Linked DNA regions of Drosophila melanogaster. The protein of the gene in region 1 interacts with the protein of each later gene in a pairwise test. Each region holds a gene or a part of one and is shown in the gene's direction. Other genes may lie near its edges.

Region 1 (5,384 bases):
CAATTGCCTTGTTCTTTATATATACACACACAACTTTTACAACTTAATCTTATACTTATTCTTATTATACGGTGTACTTAACTTAACCCAATTGTAAATTCAATTTACACTCTCTATTTACAAGTAAATAGATTTGGCTCTAATTCTACACGCCCCTAAACACCCCACTAATCCTTGCTAAAATGTGAGACATTTATTTACACGAGGCGAGCGAAATGGGCATGGGAATTCGAATTCCAGGTGACGCTTTGGCTTTAAAGTGCTTTCTAGTAACAGTTCGTCTGCATAGCTTTAACACAACCGAAAAAAAGTTAATTGGGTGCGGCAGTTGCTTAAATTAGAAAAACTGACTGGGAAGGGAAAATCAGGTAGAATTTAAAATAGTGCTTGCGATATTCATAAAACAGTTCGCTTGGTCCGTATGAAATCAAGAGACGCCTCAACCAAAGCTTAGCTATGCCGATCCATTGCCCTTCATACGGTTGGTTTTGTAGAATTCTAGGGCTTGTCATGAAACTTGGCGAGTACTTATAGTGCTCCGGGGGAACTGTTGTACGCGAAGCATAAAGTAATGAGATCATTTAGTGCTTTAGGACAAATGGTTTACAAAACGAATTGTACTTGTATAGAAGCCACCACAAACCAAACAAAATGCTAAAAGTATAAAAATATATTTTTATGCATAAACGCTTTGCCTTAAAACAACAAAACAAACAAGAACAACATATTTAAATACAGAAAGATAATTTCTTTTAAAAAGTTTACAAGATGTGTTTCTATCTTTCAATAGGGATTCGGTAAGTATGTTAAGTAAGAATAAGTACGAATACTAAGTAAATTACATACTTCAAGTTCTAAGTATACCACGTTTTATTTACATTAAATTGAAACGTCCTTTGTTTATGAACCAATGTGGTCTATAAATAACCGACACACATTTATGAAATTCCATTTAGCAGTCAATTCTGTAAAAATTGTATTGCGAATTTCTGTCGGCCGGTAAGGTTCATTAACATTTGCGGAGCTGCTGTGGAAACAAATTAAGCAAACATGCAAATGAACTCGCAAAAAAATTGGCAAGAAAACTTGACATTTCGCGAGCTTTTGCGCGAGAAACGGAGACACCACGTAAAAGAGAACGATGCAGGACAATTAGCAGAGATAGGAAAAACAGCTGGCAAAAGGAAAATTCAGGGGAAAACACAACATGTGTGTGTTTTCTTTTCGCGCGCTCAAAGCAATTACAAAATTCACACACTGCGCGGCGGCCCAGCAACAAATTGAGATTACAAAACAACGTAAAAAGGTTCATTCACCTGTGTGCGTTGTGTCTGTTTCGCGCTTTTACGTGTTTATGTGTGAGACAAAGTCGTGGAAACAGAAAATATACTAAGTAAATATATATTCGAAGGAGTAGTTTATAATGAACAAGTTTGCAAAAGAAAATGCTATTCATTTAGTAACTTAGCAATGAATGTTTGTTCTACTTTTAATTGCACTTAATATCCTTTAGGGCAAGTTCTAAGGTAAATTATTTAACCGCATTTATTTTACATAAATAAATATTTGTATAATGGTAGAGTGGTGTTTGAGCTTTTAATATCGTGATCAAAGCGAGTGTCGCATAAACCCTTTGCAAAAAATAAGTGCGAGTGTATGCGGATTACCCGCCATTCGCCCGCGCCAGCAACCACAAACACACACAGACAACACATACACCTACACTAACACCGGTAAAGCGCAATTGGCCATTTAGTTTCGCGCAAATAACAACGGCACGTTTCGCATATTTATAGCGAAACAGACATTGCGACAATTAATTAATGTTTAGCACAAACAACGTTGTAACAACAGCAACAACACACAAACAACGGGCCAAAACGAAATTCGCAAATTCGCGTGTCGCTGTTTTGGGTGCGTTAGTGTGCGTGAGTGCCTGCATCGGCATTTAACTGTAATAATTTATCTTAAACTTACTTGATCCTCAATTATTTCTATTGCTTTCAAAGCAATGGACAGTAAAACCAATAAATATTCGGTGAATACAACACTATAATCAATGTTAGACCATGCAAATTTCAATATTCGCCTATAAAAAATACAGATCCCGCGAAATGCTGAAAAATAGCGACAATGTGAACGAACTGGTGGCGCTTTAAAAAGCCGTCTGCAACAATTAAAATACTGCAAAATATACTGAAAAATCGCGCTGGGAGCTGCCAACTCGGTTGGTTGCACATAGAATAGTGTGTTTCATATCGACGATTCGATTACCACAAATATCGCTTGGCTTGGCCAATTCACTTCGAATTTCAAATCGAAGCAGGAACGTCGGTCCGCGGCGGAAACAGTCGTTAGCAGTTCCATTTCGTAGCGACATTAATTGGTAACCATTGGGACTCGAAGTGCAACACACAAAAGTGGACTGTGCAGCGCGATTTATGTTAGTATTCCATGCAGAAGCCGAAGTTCTGGGCGATGGAACCACCCTCCGGCAAATGTTAAATATTTATACACACCACCAACGGAACGCACGCACTTACATATATTTCCCCATTGCAAGTGGCGCCAACATATGTAAAGTAGCGATAAGAAAACAACCCAGAAGAGGAAGGCACACTTATTGTAAGTGAATGTGCACTGTGTTACATGGTTATGGATATTTCGAAGTTCTATTGATTTTTGGGTTCTCCAAATTTTTTTGCCGCCTTCGACGTGTTTTTGTCGCCTTTTGTTTTGTGCTTTTGCTTCCGTGTGTGTTCGTTCGCCTTGATTTTTCCATTTAACTGGGTTTACGTCTTTATTATTCTGTTTTTTACGTCGTCGTCCCCCCTCCAACAAACTTGTGGGTGGGTTGGGCGCTTGAACCGCTGTTGATTCACCTGCCGTTTGTTTTTTTCTCTTATTTTGTTTTCAACTTCACGGGCAGCTGCGAAATCTCAGCTGCTCTAGCAAAAATAACAATAACAAACAAAACAAGAACAACAAAAGTCAGCTTTCGTTGGTGCAATAACCGGTTTTCAAGCTTTATCGTATTTCGAAACTGTGCTAATAGCTGGTGTTGTTTTTCGTTTGGCATATTTTACCGCTTTGTTACCCACATAATTATAAACTTACTAATAGTAATGACTGTAAAAAGTGGCGATAATTTACAATTACGGAGCACTTGTTAATATATTGAATTTCGGTAGCAGCATTGGCAGGCAGTTGATTTTGATGCAAAAACTTTCCCACTTAAAATGTCAGTTATTCATTTTTTGTACAACATTTTTACCTGCCTGCCAACTGCAGATGCATGTGATGGATGCTTCCTCCTTCTCGTTTTCGCACTCACCTCCATTCGCACACTGAGAAAAATTCATGATAATCTTCATTTTACCGAACTAAAACAAATATAAAATATTGACATCGTATCAATAATATTATAAACTGTTATAAAAGTTTTAAAACATAAAAACTTCATTTTCTGAATAGTATTTTCTTTCCTGAGTTCCTTGAACTGAAGTTTAGATTTCAGTGTAGCTAGCATAATTTCTCGTTGAGCCTTTCGGACATGCAGCAGGCAATTTCTATGTCCTGAAACAAGCCAAAAGCGCTCGCTCCAAGGATAACAGGCTCGTCAGGCCACAAAATCGATTCTCCACGAAGCCCAATACCTTGGAGAAAACCCGACACGTGATGGTGCCTGGCTGGGAATTACGGAAAATGTAAAAAAAAGGGGCCACGCAATAAAGGAACAGGATGGCTTGGATTGGGCATTCTAATGGGAACTTTCAACTCGTTCTCTTTCTGCCCTTTTCACAACTTCTGGCGCAAACTGTGGCAAAATTCAAACGGGAGAAAAACATGCCGGATATAAGCTGTAAATTAAAGGGGACAACTCGGTCAGATATTTTGGGGGAACTAAGTTTAGAATCCAGGGTGTAGATGCATGTGGCAAACAACAAGCAGATACCGTATCTAAGATTATCTAAACTTCTTATTGGGGGTGATTTCCGGCTGAGAACGAACGGGATTACCTACCACACTTCTAAAGCGATTGCATCAGTATATTCTGTAGACCAGTCGCAGTAGTAAACAAATTGCTTCATAAGATAAGTTATCTCTAGTTTTATTAGGGATTAGAATTGCAAAGTGGGAATCGCAAAAAAATGCAATTATTTTAAATAATTATATTCCCCCCAACACTTGTTTGCATAATATAACCATCGTTAGCCTCATTAATATACATTTTGTAGTTTTTTATTGAGATTTAAATTCTCCAGACCAAAACACACAATCATTGTATCACACATCATTGTTAATCTCTTCTTTCAAAAACTTTCGACATTTTTCTTTTTAATACATCCCCTGACTCTAAGGCCAAACTTTTTTAGGGAAACTTCGGCACTTAAACGCATCAAAAATTCCTTTTCAACTGGCGCCCGACAAAATCCCTAGGAATTCAATCACTTTCGCTTGGCAACCAAAAAATTTTCACAATTCTGCTTGTAAGTAGTGGGGAATGTGGTGTATTTGGTGGTGCACAGATGCCTGAAACTAACTTTGAACTATGCATGCACATCGGGAAAATATTTTGTTTCTCCATTTTATATATTTTTCGCCGGCTTCTTTTTCGTTTCGAGATGGCAAGGATCAGGCACACAGACTCCTGGCTGCCGTCTGGTTCCCAGGGGATGGGGTTGCATGAAGTTGTTCTGTCTGCGCTCCATCCACAACTGGCTGGTTTCCCAGGTCCTGCTCCTCCTGCTTCCCGGCGCCCAACATCCTTTGTTGTCTCGCTGGAAACGGAGATGGCGATTGGCGCTGCCGTTGGCTCTTTTATGACGCAGTTGGTCCGGACAAGTTGAAGTTTGTTTGCTCGGCCGTGCCTGCAAAGGAGTTCATTCTTGTATAATGCATTAGCGAGCCACTGAAGAAGTTGTCTCAGTATAGTATGTCCGTGTTTGTTTAAAGCCAATCGGGTACAATATGTGGCTTCTCCTTCTATCCGCCAAACCCGTAAAAATCCGAGCTCAACCGAAAAAGTTTCCGGCTCATTAAAACCAATTTGTCTGGGAACATTTATAGAACTTTATGCCTTTGATGAAAAACAACCATTTGGCGCTAGACCAGCCGCGCGAAAATAAATAACATTTTGCCAATTTCCAATTAATCAGCAAAGTCAACAGCAGCAAAGGTTCATTGAATTTGCAGCTGTGTGGGGTTTTGGCGGGGTGGAGATTTCGGTAAATGGTTTGGAGTTAGAAGGGGGGTATATCTGGGGCTTAAGGTTTCCCTCCAAGCACGCTCCGCTTTCAATGATTAGTCAGCCGAGTGATATGACTAAGCGAACCACCAAAGCGTTTGGCCACCACACGAGACGGAATGAAATTCAAATTAAA
Region 2 (4,169 bases), 2.2 Mb from region 1:
GTTTGCAATTACCCCACCTAATTAATGATCAGCTAGGCCACAAGTACGTTCTTGATTAAAATTTGTGTGCTGCTAACGCATTAATTAAAGTTTCATAAGAGGCAAGCAGAAAAATGCGAGAAAAGAAGGCCAAACAAGGACTTCTATTTAAATATTTATTCCACTCATTTGTATTGTGGAAGAGACCCCGAGACCTGGAGACAGAAATTACCTTAGGCACACAAATTGCATTTGCGTGTCAACCGCAGTGCGCAAAAAGGGGCGGGAATGTCCTGGAGGCGTCCCAAGTTTGAATGTGTGACTGTGTGTATTTGAGTGAGTGAGTCTCTGGAACATGCGAAGCGTGCGTAAGTCGGCAACATGTAAACGCGTATTAATTAAGCCAAAACAAAGCGCCGCCGCTCAAGAACCAGACGAAATGCGAAGACGACGACGTCGACGGCGACGAGGACATGCAAAAGGAGTGGCACGTGGGCGGCGGTGGCGATGGCAGGGGGCGTGGCAAGTCGTCCTGCGAGTCAAGAGCTCGCTCGCTGCCATTTCCCCCTGTCAGGGACTCAATGTGTCCGTAGGAAATGGAAATGCCCTTATAATACGCCAGACGTGGTACATTTTCTTTTTTGTATGTGTGCGGCTTTCTTTGACTGATTCTTTTGATTCCAGTTATACATTTTAATTAAAACCACCTCATAACATAACATACATAACTCGCCTATCTCGTTGTAGTTAACAGGCGTTTTATTTAAATAGTCCCTTAATGAGCAAAACAGTCTCGCCCAGTCTTTGTCCTCACCCCACCAGGTGAACAGCTCTCGAAGTTGTCGGGCTGCCGGCGACACTTTTCCGTCATTGTCCCACCTGTCATCGCCAGTCGGTCCGAGCTGCCACAAATGTCAGTCACCGCTTTAAACGCTTTTGGCTAGAATAAGCTTCAAGTCAAAAACAAAAATTGAGTAAACGATTTAGAAATAAAACACATTATTTGAAAAGGGAGTTGGTTTAGCCATGACCTTCTGTGCGTCCGTCGATTTGTATGCAAACTAGAGTCTCAGTTTTAGAACTAGCCGAATAAAACTTTCAAAAAGTCTTTTTATTGTAAGTTTGTTAATTCCAGATATAAACACTCTATCATATAGGAAAGAAATCATATCATCGTGGTTTTTAATTATAAAGTGTTCTAATTCGGTATAAGCATTTTTCTATTTTAAATATATTTTAACTGCAAGCATATATATATAAATGGATATATAGATTTTACATTTAACGTTTTTCGGCTGAGTGCATGAGAATGATTTTCGTGCCCACTTTAATTGCAATTCGTGTTAATTTCGCCGGCGAAACTGGGTTTAACAACCACTTGAGGCGGCCAGCTGCCACTTCATCGGTCATTATGGTCAGCCATAAACAAATCAGCAAACAAAGTGGCAGCCACCTGCCACCTGCCGCCTTCCATTGTCCACGTCGCCACTTTGCACACCCACTTTTCGCACAAATTGCACGTTGGGCGCCACAAAAGTTGCGACCCAAGAAAAAGCAAGCGGAAAGAATAGCCGAGCCAAGAAAGCGAAGGGAAACAAAGGAACGAGCGAAAGAAAATCTTTCATTATCATGTCACGTCAATCGAAAAACAATCTAATGACTGCACATGATTTCTATCTCAAATAGGTTGGACGGGAGTCTGGGCAAGGGGCAAAACAGGACGGGAAATCGCCCTACATACACACTGAACTCAAACACAAATGCCCACAGAAGTGGTTGAAAAGTTTGCGGCCAAACGATTATTATGCATTAGCCATGCTTAAACGGTTAAATCAACTGTAAATCCCTCTGCCCACAATAAGGTCGTTGGGGGCAGCCTTCGATGGGCGGTCAACTGCACAAGTCAAGTGTGAATGAGTGTGATTTGATAAATCACTGCGATATAACAAGGCTCAACGTATCTGAAACTTAGATACCGAGGCGGACAGGCATTTCCAGTTGATTAGGAAGTACGGCTTGGAGCTCACTTTTATAAAGACTTCAGATTTCGAATAGATTATGTAACTATCCTAAGCCTAAAGTGTTAAAAAAATTCTGAGTGTGTTTGTTTTTGGGACGAGCTTAATAGGCTTTTCAGTAACGGTTAAGTTTACCTTTTAAATATTTAAATCTATTAAGTTTGTAATATTTCCGATTTTAATGATGTACAAGTAAGTAAAAAAAATATTATGGTGTCTATTGCTATCGCTAATATGCATATTTCCGTTTTCATTCACAGCAACCGACCCACGGCGTAGGTATCGATATAAGTTACTATCCAGATCTGAGTATTTTAATATTTTTCTTTTTAAACAGTATCAGTCTAGAAGAGGAGGTTCAATATATCTATAAGTACCCTTTGCTGCCGACTCCACTGATTGATTATGGATTTATCTACAATCTGGTTTGCAACAAGCCTCGGGATGTCAGTGTGCCGTTGATCCTAGAAATTGAGACAGAGTTCAAGTCCAAAGACAGTGCTCCTGAGAAGCCAAAGAAGGTGCCTAGGCTTTCATACCATTCCCGATCGAGTTCAATGAGTGAAGATGAACCGGAACCGGAAGTGCAAGTTAAATACCAGTGGAACTCGCCGCGGCTGATGATTCTCTGCGAAGATGGAGACATCAATTGCGCTTTGCACTATCTCGTTGAGTCTCTTCACGATCCCTTCGCCTGCAATGCGGTGGCCACTCTTTTCTTGCAGGAATCCATATTGGAGGAGTTCGTGGATCGCATAAGGGATCGCCTGGAACCGTTGAGCACGGATATCTCCGGGCATCCGGTTTATATAATGACACTGGAGAGAATAGGTCACTTACAGGCAAAGAGAATAGTTGGAAATCCCAAGACTGTTCCAGAAAATGCTAGTCCCATGCTGGTCTACGACCTTAGCCATCGTTACTTGGCTGATGGACCCACCGGGGTCATAACCCTGCACACCTTTCGAACCATGAAGGAGGCCGTTGAGCTGCAGGCTAAGGAACCACTTAACTTTACCTCTGTGTGCATTTGGAACGAAAAACTGGCAGCCGCCTACGAACTGGTGGCCCGATTAAGTCCGCTGATCTTCACGATTAATTGTTACTACGTTAATCTGAACGAAATCACTCTGCCCTTCGTTTGCAACTTTAACTCCGCAAAGATTATCGACGGCTACCACTACGAGTCATTGACCTTTAAGGGAAAGCGCAAAGTGGTTGTCCATCCAGTTGGCACCATCTGGGCAAAGTTGGCCCGCGAGGCACTCGTCCAGTACTGATCTCTCCCATCGGGGGGTCGCACTCGAACTTCTTTTGACAGCCAATTTAAATTACTAGTCATTGATCTAGGGCCTCTGGCTAATTGACTTTCCGGTTGGGCAACTCAATTACCAATTTAATTGCTACAAAACGTCTGCCCGTCCCAAGAGTTTTGGCCTACATATTTTCCGGGGAAACTCAACAGGCCGTTTCCCCGGCCTAATGGAAATTATGAGTGACTTTGTATTGCGATATTAAAAATTCTTTCTGCGAAGTAATTCACCTAACGTGCCAATAATTTCAAAAATTAACTTTGCCCCATTGGCACCTTCCCCGATTTCCCCGCTCTGCAGAACAAAGGCAACAAAAGGCGGTTCGTGTTGGCAACAAAATGTTGAGGCTGCCAGGTGAGTGGGTGGGAAGTGGCTGGATGGCGGGTGGAATTTCGAATATGCCATAATTACTCCACTTGGTCGCTGCTGAGGGTCGATCGTGCAGAGGGGCCACTGGGCGGTCATATTAGTGGCACATTTCGGCTTGTTGGTTGGCCAAATAATACGGGAATGGGAATGACTTTGGCAAACGGGGGCTGGGCAACTTTATAATGTACTTCCGTTTGCTTTCATTCACATGGCAGCGGAATATCAAAATATTTGACATTTGCATAAATAACACGGCCACCGACGCAGATCCCGGGCAAGTTGAAAGGCAAATAAGGCTCGAATTTTTCGCCCAGCCCCAAACCACACACATATCATGCCTGGAATTGGGCAAATTTAAAAAACCAGCACATGCCAAGGGGCATGGAATGGAAGCGGTGCGGAGCAGAGCGAAATATGCAACGCAGGCAGTGAAAACAAAACCGTGGAATTTCTGTCCACCAGAGTCGGGAGTCCTGGCCACGGACTCCGG

What was found.
Region 2: the proteins of CG9801 (region 1) and CG2336 interact in a two-hybrid assay, tested with the Drosophila melanogaster proteins (one large-scale study listed by BioGRID).

What each region holds. Positions count from the first base shown.
Region 1 is NT_033777.3:8,744,585-8,749,968, reverse strand, and holds the start of CG9801 (uncharacterized protein), read left to right. Parts: upstream 1-2,293; 5' UTR 2,294-2,443; exon of another isoform or gene 2,444-2,625; intron 2,626-4,307; exon of another isoform or gene 4,308-4,490; intron 4,491-5,384.
Region 2 is NT_033777.3:6,578,739-6,582,907, forward strand, and holds CG2336 (uncharacterized protein), read left to right. Parts: upstream 1-2,045; 5' UTR 2,046-2,178; coding exon 2,179-2,189; intron 2,190-2,257; coding exon 2,258-2,272; intron 2,273-2,334; coding exon 2,335-3,277; 3' UTR 3,278-3,533; downstream 3,534-4,169.